2 linked regions of the Yarrowia lipolytica genome follow. Each later gene encodes a partner of the first gene's protein in a complex. Links are inferred from orthologs where the notes say so. Each region holds a gene or a part of one and is shown on either strand. Other genes may lie near its edges.

Evidence for each region.
Region 2: the proteins of YALI1_A01061g (region 1) and YALI1_F28025g are in contact, whole or in part, in a crystal structure (PDB 3WBK), measured with the Saccharomyces cerevisiae proteins. The link is inferred for Yarrowia lipolytica from reciprocal best matches to the Saccharomyces cerevisiae genes FUN12 and TIF11. Residues at the interface, in NP_009365.1 of Saccharomyces cerevisiae: Arg969, Asp973, Lys976, Phe980, Trp989, Leu990, Lys993, Lys996, Glu1002; in NP_013987.1 of Saccharomyces cerevisiae: Asp145, Leu148, Ile150, Ile153.

The regions. Positions count from the first base shown.
Region 1 is NC_090770.1:102,225-108,239, forward strand, and holds YALI1_A01061g (uncharacterized protein), read right to left. Parts: upstream 3,929-6,015; coding exon 788-3,928; downstream 1-787. Other genes in the region: YALI1_A01074g (uncharacterized protein), read left to right, coding at 5,207-5,273, 5,321-5,501, 5,530-5,788. UniProt on the Saccharomyces cerevisiae protein: Plays a role in translation initiation. Translational GTPase that catalyzes the joining of the 40S and 60S subunits to form the 80S initiation complex with the initiator methionine-tRNA in the P-site base paired to the start codon.
Region 2 is NC_090775.1:2,801,247-2,804,299, forward strand, and holds YALI1_F28025g (uncharacterized protein), read right to left. Parts: upstream 1,481-3,053; coding exon 1,460-1,480; intron 1,352-1,459; coding exon 923-1,351; downstream 1-922. Other genes in the region: YALI1_F28015g (uncharacterized protein), read right to left, coding at 1-314; YALI1_F28031g (uncharacterized protein), read left to right, coding at 1,883-2,707; YALI1_F28064g (uncharacterized protein), read right to left, coding at 2,977-3,053.

The sequences.
Region 1 (6,015 bases):
GGATATACATCTGACGATATACATCTGACGAATATCCAAGTTCTCTAAAAAAATATAACATGTGACAATCACCCGCCTCTCGAACCATCTGAAACCCCCCATACCACAATACGCTACAATCATTGAAGCTCGTCTAATGCCAATGAACACCAAGTACCCACGTTACGACATGTTCCATCGTGACTTTGTCTGCGGTACAGCTATAACTACACGTGAAGCTGGGTTTCTCCTCTACCACTTTAAAGACCTAGGAAAAGTACATTTATAGAAGGCGGTTGGGCAAGTGATGATTGTACGGCAGTTAATCGCTCCAGGCTGTATCTCACATAGTTCTGACTACAGTGTCTGTACTTGCTACCTTGCTACTTCAGTGAACATACAGTAGTAGGCTTTAGTTGGGTTTAGTTGGGAATATATGTATCGTAAGAAAAAAAAAAAATGCGGAAAAAAATGCGGAAAAAAATGCGGAAAAAAAATGCAGTTGAAAAAGTGTCAAATGATATACAGAGTCCAAATGCCAGAGAATTTATCTAAAGACATCAAGTTACACTATCACGCAGCCATATGTCTACTGCGACCAGATCGGCTCTTACGGGAATCAGTGTATATTACGTACAACCGTCCAAACCTCTTGAAGCGGCCTACAGTATCAACTCACTTCAATCAGCAATATCAATTTTCATTTACGTACATCTTACACAATAGTCAGAGCAATAACAACGTACCAGGCCATTTATAACAGTGGCTTGATGTTGTCCGCTCCTGATCTCCTAATCTCCGAGATCCCTTATTTGATTCCAAAAGTAGTCTTGAGGTTTCTGAGCAACAGCCAGTCCTCTCGGGGCACGTCGTTTCGGAAAACGGGGTCCTTGAGAGTATCAATGGACTTTCGGGTGATGGACGAGTACAGAACATCCTTCTCGTCAATGTGTCGGCCCCAAGTAGGCTGTCCGGAAGAAGTATCGATTCGCATAGCCACACCAGCGTTGGTCTGGCCCTTTCGAACAACAGATTCGGACTTGTGGTTCACCTCCATGGAAGTCACCTTACCGAGCTCGAGCACCTCTCGTGCACCGGTCTCGGGGTTGGTCTTAACGGCACAGATGGGGGTTCCAATTCGCAGAGAGCCCTCAACAACGTCGACACCAATGATCATGGGCGATCGCTTGTTGATGATCTGGACAGTGTGCAGAACACAAGGGAAAACGGCCTTGTCGATGGTGTCCAGTCGCTTCTGCTCCTGCAGCTTCTTCTGGTGCTTGACAAAGTCGTCAAACAGATGGTAGATAATATCAGCCGAGAAAAGCTTGACACCCTGCTCGTCAGCATATCGCTCGGCGTCCTTGTCGATCTTGACGTCGAAACACAGCATGATGGCCAGCGACTTGTCCTTCTCCAGCATGGTGGTGGCTCGCATCACATCCTTTTTGTAGACGGGACCTAGAGCAATGGACATGACGGGGATCTTCATATCCTTGAGGAAGTCGAGAAGAGCCTCCAGGGAACCAAGAGTGGAAGCCTGGACACACACACCACGTCCAGACTTGTCAACGGAGTCAAGGAGGCCGGTAAGATCGTCCATGACATCGTCCATGAGTTCCTCCTCATCATCATCAGGACCCACAAGCAGCAGACGAGAACCAGCCACGGCCTTGTCCAGGTCGTTGGCGGCAATCTTGACACCGAGAGCAGCCTTGACCTCCTTGTGGTGCTGGTAAGCAGACTTGATTCGCAGCTCTCTGAGCGGCTGGGGAGTGAGTAGAGCTCTGACGTTGGTGGCAATGGGGCCGTTTTGACCGCAAAGCACGACTCGGTCACCCTCGCGCAAGACACCGTTGGACAGAACAACATCGATGGTGGTTCCGAAACCTTCGACAACCTTGACTTCCAGAACGGTGGCCTCGAGCTCAGACAGGTACATGAGCTGCTTGGACATTCGGCTCTGAGTCAGCTGCAGCAGAAGAGCGAGCAGATCGGGAATACCCTCGCCGGTGATGGCGGAGGTGGGGACCAGAGACACATTCTTGGCCAGGTTCTTGTTCTTGTAGTAGACCTCAGAGTTGAGACCCTGCTCCATAAGAGCGGTCTTGGTCTTCTCGAGTCGGTCCTCAAACTCCCGCAGCACAGACTTCTTCTGCTTGGAGAGCGAATCTCGGAACGAGTTGTTGGGGATGGCCTCCCAGTCGAAGAGTCGATCAATCTTGTTGAGAGCGACCACGAAGGGCGTCTTCTTGTCTCGCAGCAGCTTGATGGACTCAATGGTCTGGGGCTCGAGGCCGTGCATGATATCAATCACCAGGATGGCAATGTTACACAGCGACGAACCTCGGGATCGCAGGTTGGTGAAAGACTCGTGACCGGGGGTATCGATCACCAGCAGACCAGGCACGTGGTAGTCAATCTCGCCGTACTGCTCCATGACCTCCGTCTTCTTTTTGATGGCCTCGATAGGGAAGTAGGTGGCACCAATCTGCTGAGTAATACCTCCAGCCTCGCCCTCCTGCACGTTGGTTTGTCGCACCTTGTCCAGAAGCTTGGTCTTACCGGTATCGACGTGGCCCAGAATACAACAAATGGGAGATCGCAGGTTTCCGGCATTGGCAGATGCAATGGCTCGCGAGTGCTTGGCGGCACGCTTCTCGGCAATGGCAGCAGACTTTCGTCGGGCCTCTTCAAGAGCCTCCTCGGCAGCAACTCGCTGTCGCTCCAGCTCGGTCTCGTCGTTGAGCTGGGTGCCCTCATCAGCAGCCTTCTGACGGGCCAGAGCGGCAGCCTGGGCCTCAGCTTCCTTGGCAGCAGCCTCAGCCTCCTCCTTGGCCTTGATGGAGGGGTCTTCCTTCTTGGTGATTTCAATCTCGCCATTCTCGTCGGCCATGGCCTCCCAGTCGTCCTTGACTTCTCCGTCAGAGTCCAGGGCAGTCTCCCAGTCGTCCATAAGGGCGTCAACATCGTCCTCCTCGGGAGACTCGGCCTCCTTCTTGACCTCCTTGGGCTTCTCAACAACCTTGTCCTCAACCTTGGGCTGCTTCTGGGCAGGAGTTCTGGTGGGCAGTCTGTTGTTGGTCTGCTTGGCGGGTGCTCGTCCACCGCCAACAATCATTCCGGCAGCCAGCATCTGCTCTCGTCGAGCCTCGGCGGCAGCTCGCTCCTGCTTCTGCTTCTTGGTCATATAAGTACCCTCAGCCTTCTGTCGCTCGACCTTCTGTCGTTCTCGCTCCTTCTTGGCGAGCCGTGCAGCCTCCTTCTCCTTCTCGGCCTCCTCAACAGCTCGCTGGGCAGCCTCCTCGGCAGCTCGCTCCTCCTCCTCGGCAGCAGCCATAGCGGCTTCCTGGGCCTTGATGGCATCCTGCTGGGCCTTGATCTTGGCAATAGCAGCAGCTCGGCCAGTCAGCTTCTTGGCGGGGGCGGCGGGGGCGGCCTCGGGCTCAGGAGACTTGGACTCGACCTTCTTGTCCTCCTTCTTGTCCTCCTTCTTGTCCTCTCCCTTGGCCTTCTTATCAGCAGCCTTTGCGTCGGCAGCGGCCTTTCGTGCGTCGGCAGCAGCCTTCTTCTTGGCCTTCTCCTGCTCCTTCTTGAGCTTGTCCTTCTGCTTCTTGGTCAGAATCACAGGAGCCTCCTCGGGCTCGGCCTTTGCGTCCTTGGCGTCTCGCGCGTCCTTCTTCTTCTTGGACTTTCGCAGCGCTCCCATCAGTCCTCCGCCCTCGAATTCGTCGGCAAGATCGTCCATAGTGGCCTCCTCGGGAGCGGCAGGGGTGGGCTCGGGGGTCGCAGAGGCGCTCTCATCGCCCTTGGGCACATCAGCAGCCCCAGCAGCCTTGTCCTCCACAGCAGGGGTCCCGTCGAGGTTCTGGGGAGTCGTGTCCATGCTCTCCTCCTCACTGTCGCTCCAGTCGCCGTAGCTTTGTTGCTTCTTTCCTTTCTTCGCCATCTTGTCGTGTCGTGAAAATGGTCAGGTATTCAGGTTGAGATGTGTAACTACATGGGTGAAAAAGTGAGAAATCACGTGATCCAAACCTTGTTACAAGAAGACACTGATTGCCCTCAAAGAGCGGGAAAAAAAAGGGAAAAGGACCGGTGGAAATGTGGCAAATCCCCGATATGAGATTTTTTTGTTTGTTTCTTAGGTTTCACATAACTCTGGCTCGGCTTTGTCGAACTACCGCAATCCACTTCTCAAACATATCAATCTAGGCCATATCTACGATTTCCTTGCAGCATCATCATTGCGCCAAACTAAAGTTTCCTTCAAAATTTTTCACAGATCGAACGCGGTTGTGGGTTCGATTCTGTGGTAGATACCATATAGTTGGTCTGGATGGGTGCGAGCATTGTCTTGCGCTCTTCTGAATACCTGGATCCGAGTCCGATATGGGGGTTCATATTTTTTTTTAGGCCTCTGTAGCCTGTGTTTGTATTTCCCCCTAGAATTAGAAATAAAAAAAAAAATAAAAATAAAAATAAAAATAAAATAAAAAAAAAATAAAATAAAAAAAATAAAAATAAAAATAAAAATAAAAAAAATAAAAATAAAAATAAAAAAATAAAAAAAAAAAAAAAAAAAAATAAAAATAAAAATAAAAATAAAAATAAAATATAAAAAAAAAAAAATAAAAATAAGATAAAATATTAATATATATATAATTAAATAAAAATATAAAAAAAAAAAAGATGGGGCATCGGACTAAAATAATGTACATACTGTTGCAGTACTTCTTGCAGTTAGTCTTCACCTTCATCTTAATCTTTAAGAGAGTAGTATTGAGAGTAGTCCAAACAAGTGGCATTGTGAGGAAACCAGCGAGTTGGTTGCCAGTCTCCACAAATGAAACAGTCTCGCTACCATTCACTCTCGCTACCATTCACTCTCGCTACCATTCACAGCTTCTCTGGTGAAGTGATATTGTCACGGATGGTCGCCTAGAGACTCCAGTTGTTGACCGCACTATCAATGTCCGGAACTACAGTGTCCAGAACCCCCCGCACTATCCGAGAGTCTGGACTGCTCTGCTCCATGTCCCATGAAACCCCAATCGTCGTCTGAATGAAGAAATGAAGCACCGATGGGGCTACTAGAACTTCACCAACTCTCACCTTGCCCGACGACTTTACTTGAGATCTGAGTACCCTCCTCGGTCTCAGCCGGTTTCAATTACGTCATTATTGGATCTCGGGCAAGTCATACTCTACCGCGCAGGAGTACGAGGCCATGAATCATGCCCTTGAACTTGCATACACCCATATTCCGGTCCTTGTTCTCGTGGAGAAGTTTCCCGGTGCCAGCGAAGACAAGATCCAGGGAGTTATCAACTACTATGGGCAGGATACATTAAGAATCTGAACGTGGCCAAGTACTGGGACAACTTTGACGCCATTGGCGACCTCAAGGACCACATCTTCGACAACAACGGTGATAAGGATGCGGATCTAGACTACACCAACCCTCCCCATGTTATCGTGAACTATATCATGCAGGATCCCGTTATCAAGAACCTCATTTTTTCGTGCCTCATGAAGTCGACGACTTACGAGCAAATACCGATGGGGACTGATGGACTTTGCCGACTCTTCTACTATGCCTACGCATCTCGACTGGTCGACTATTTTGGAGGACATCCGACACCTGAAGGAATCCACGACTGCCTACGACATTTATAGGAAGCTGGTCTGTCATACAGACATTGTCTATCTGCCTGGAGACGCCGACAACTCCAGGTTCATGGAGTGGGTCAATGCTATGGTTAAAGTCGAGGAGGAGTCCACCTTTGCGAGAGAAGGACCTGAGTTCTAGAGTGATCTCAACAGGCGCATGTTGGCCAACTTCAAACTCGAACCCACCATGAAAAGACGAGATCAAATGCTGACCAACCTGCGACTTTGAGACTACTCGAGCTACAATCTATGATATATATTCTGATTGGCGACAGGAGTCAGCTAAACCGGATTCAGTTGCGAGCTGTGACCAGGCCTGGTTCAACTGAACAATGGTAACGCCGCTTACAAGAAAAACTTTCGCGC
Region 2 (3,053 bases), on another chromosome or scaffold:
AAAGCTCTGGCTTTCTGAGGCACTTTTCGCTTGATGTCTTTAGTGGTAATGAGACGAGTCATGTTAGGATGTTGCAGGGCATGCTCGAATTTGAGAGCAGAAATCTTGGAAGGGAATCCGTTGACAATCAGCACCATACTCCAAGGTCTTAAGTGTGCTCTTTTGGTTCGCCATGCTCCTCCGGCCTTAAGGTCTCCGTTGTGCTGCCGAATACGTCGGAACGGATTCGGAGTAGAGCCCACGTAGCAGGAGAGAGGTTTCTTTGTAGACTGCAGCAAATACACTCCGTAGAATGGAGGGTATTGGTGCGTCATGGTATCTTGTTTTTATGGTGTGGCTATTAAGCTCACCACTTTGAGAGATGTTTGTTGTGTGCAGTGTGCAGTCGGTTAATATTGAAGGTTCCATGCAGCACCTGAGAGTGACACGCACATGGTACATACAGTACAGTACATCCGATGTTGGACAATATTTGGAGGTGGGTTACAGTAGCTTATATAATGTGTCATACTTGTACATCATTACATGTCGAATCTCACCCTTTGATATCAAGGTAGAGTGACATTATCGAGTGAACTGCTATATCTCGTTGTCCATAACATCAAATTTGGGTGGCGTTTAGTTACGACTCACGTGACGATATCACTTGTTCTCACGCGACTACCCACCAACAGTTGACGGTTATTCGCAAGATGGCTTCATTTTGTTGACAGATATACATCACTTGTAAGAGTAAAAGCGGTGTACCTAATATAGCCTGCCGTACTTTTACGCGCCTCAGTAGGCTACCTTCCCACTCATATTCACAATAAAATGATCTGTTAATCTATACCTCGCCTAAACGACAAAACAACATGTACTAGTGTACAGCCACCTGTCGTGGGCAGTTTCTTTTGGACTTTTGGACGGTCTTCTAGGTAGCTTAGATATCATCGATATCAAGCTCATCCTCCTCATCATCATCATCATCGTCGTTGTCGAACTCGAAGTTGCACTCGTCGTCCTCTCCACCCTGGTCAGCATCGTTGATCTTGGCAGACTCAGGAAGCTCACCCTGAGCCTTGAGAGCTCGAGCCTCATCGGGGTGGTACTTCATGATGACATCAGCCTTGTCGTCCTCGAAGTCTCGCAGAGAAAGCAGAATGATATCGGCCTGGTTGATCCACACCTTCTTTCGGAGCTTTCCTCGAATGTGAGCCAATCGCTTGACACCGTCGAAGCACTGGGCCTCAAGACGACCGTTTCCGAGCATCTTGACAACCTGGGCGTACTCCTGGCCTTCCTCCTTGTAGACAAGCTCTCGCTTGCTACCCTCAGACTCGTTCTTTCCTCTTCGTCGGTTCTTTCCGCCCTAGAGTTAGTAAGGTGGGCATTTCAGATTATTCCGTTGGCATTTCCACATGTGCAAAATACCGCCTAGCCTCGATTCTCGTGCCGCAAACCACCGTCAGCTACTCACCTTTCCCTTGTTCTTAGGCATTTTGTAGTATACTATCTAGGAACAAATTTTGATAGGGTTGAAAAACTAAGGGAGAGGCATGTCCCAATCGGGAAGTCATGTGAGTTACCCGGCCGGCAGAGAAGAGCACCGAAGATACGACTTTGGAAGCAGCTATGTGTGAACTCTGTATTAAAAAAATGGAAATTGTTTTTATGGAGGTCCCCGTGTTGCTTCCAAATTAATACCATGTCAACAAGACAAGCCCCACTAAGCTGCTGTTTTGGTTTGATGTTCAGATGTCACACGAGATGGAGCATCCAAGGCACACAGTTGGGAGTTTAGGCTTTCACACCCAGCATTAGTTGATGCAAGTCAACTACAGTAAATTACATAAATTATATTGTGTGCCAACATCATTAATCATCACCCCCACACAGCACTATGGATCCTTTTGAAGCTCGAATGACGATGGTGGAGCTCGTGGGACGGCTCAACGCCTCACATTCGTCCGAATCTACCCTCGCTAGTTTCATGATGAAACACGACGACCTCAAGGAAGACCTCTACGCCTGTATCATGGAGATTCTCGAGAGCACAGCCAAAGACAACGTCAACATGCGTAACAACATCATGTGGGCGCTGGGCTTTTTGTGTATGAAGATTGAAGAGTACGAGAGTAAACGGAAACGCAAGATTGCTGAAGGCACGCCAGTCGGAGACTCCAAGGACATGACGTTCTACAACGCCAGTCTGGTCAATGATCTGGTCAAGATCACCACAGAGCTCGTGTGCTCAGACGACGAGATTGGCCGAATCAACAAGCAGAGCGCGTTGCTGTTTCTCAACAAGATGAAGAAACGCAAACTGGGAACCGCAGCTGGTAAGGGTCCTCAGGGCTTGGAGCAGATCGACCGAGCTATTGACATTCTACAAAAGCGACAACCACCAGTACAGGATGAAACCGACCTCAAACTGCCCATGACAAATGCGCAGAAACTCAAGCGAATGGAGGAGGACCGGGAACGTTCAAAAATGGAACGAGAGAATGCATGGGTGATTGGACGGAACGAAGACGAGTTTGAATTACAATGGGATGCCCTGGATGGCGGTTTCACGGCTCTGGACAAGTACGAAACCCAGGAGGAAAACGAAATGTGCCAGCTGGCGAAATTTGGACTGGACTTGTCTGCTGCTGTGAGATATTTGGCTCAGGGAAAGCGAAGACGGCTAGAAGAGCCAACGCCCGGGCGGGAAACTATGGCATAGTATGTACACTATACAGTAATTATTTATTTGCATCAGCTACACACCCAGTAGTGAGCTGTAACCAATCACCATGAAGCATATTTTTTCTTTGTATTGTACATTAGGAGCTGTAGTACAAGGACAGTATGGACAATTCCTTGTGCTGTTCTATTGTGTACTTCTGCAACCCAACAAATATACAAGTAGCCCTGCTGTGTACAGTTCGATTATTACTCAAGCCAAAATTTTAACCTATAAATGCAAAATGTCCTACAAATAGAGAGAGCCCCTTAATACTCAGCCAGTCTGAGCTTTCTACCAATCTCCTTGCGTCCCAGCCGCTCGGTATCAGCCGCGTTCTCAAAGT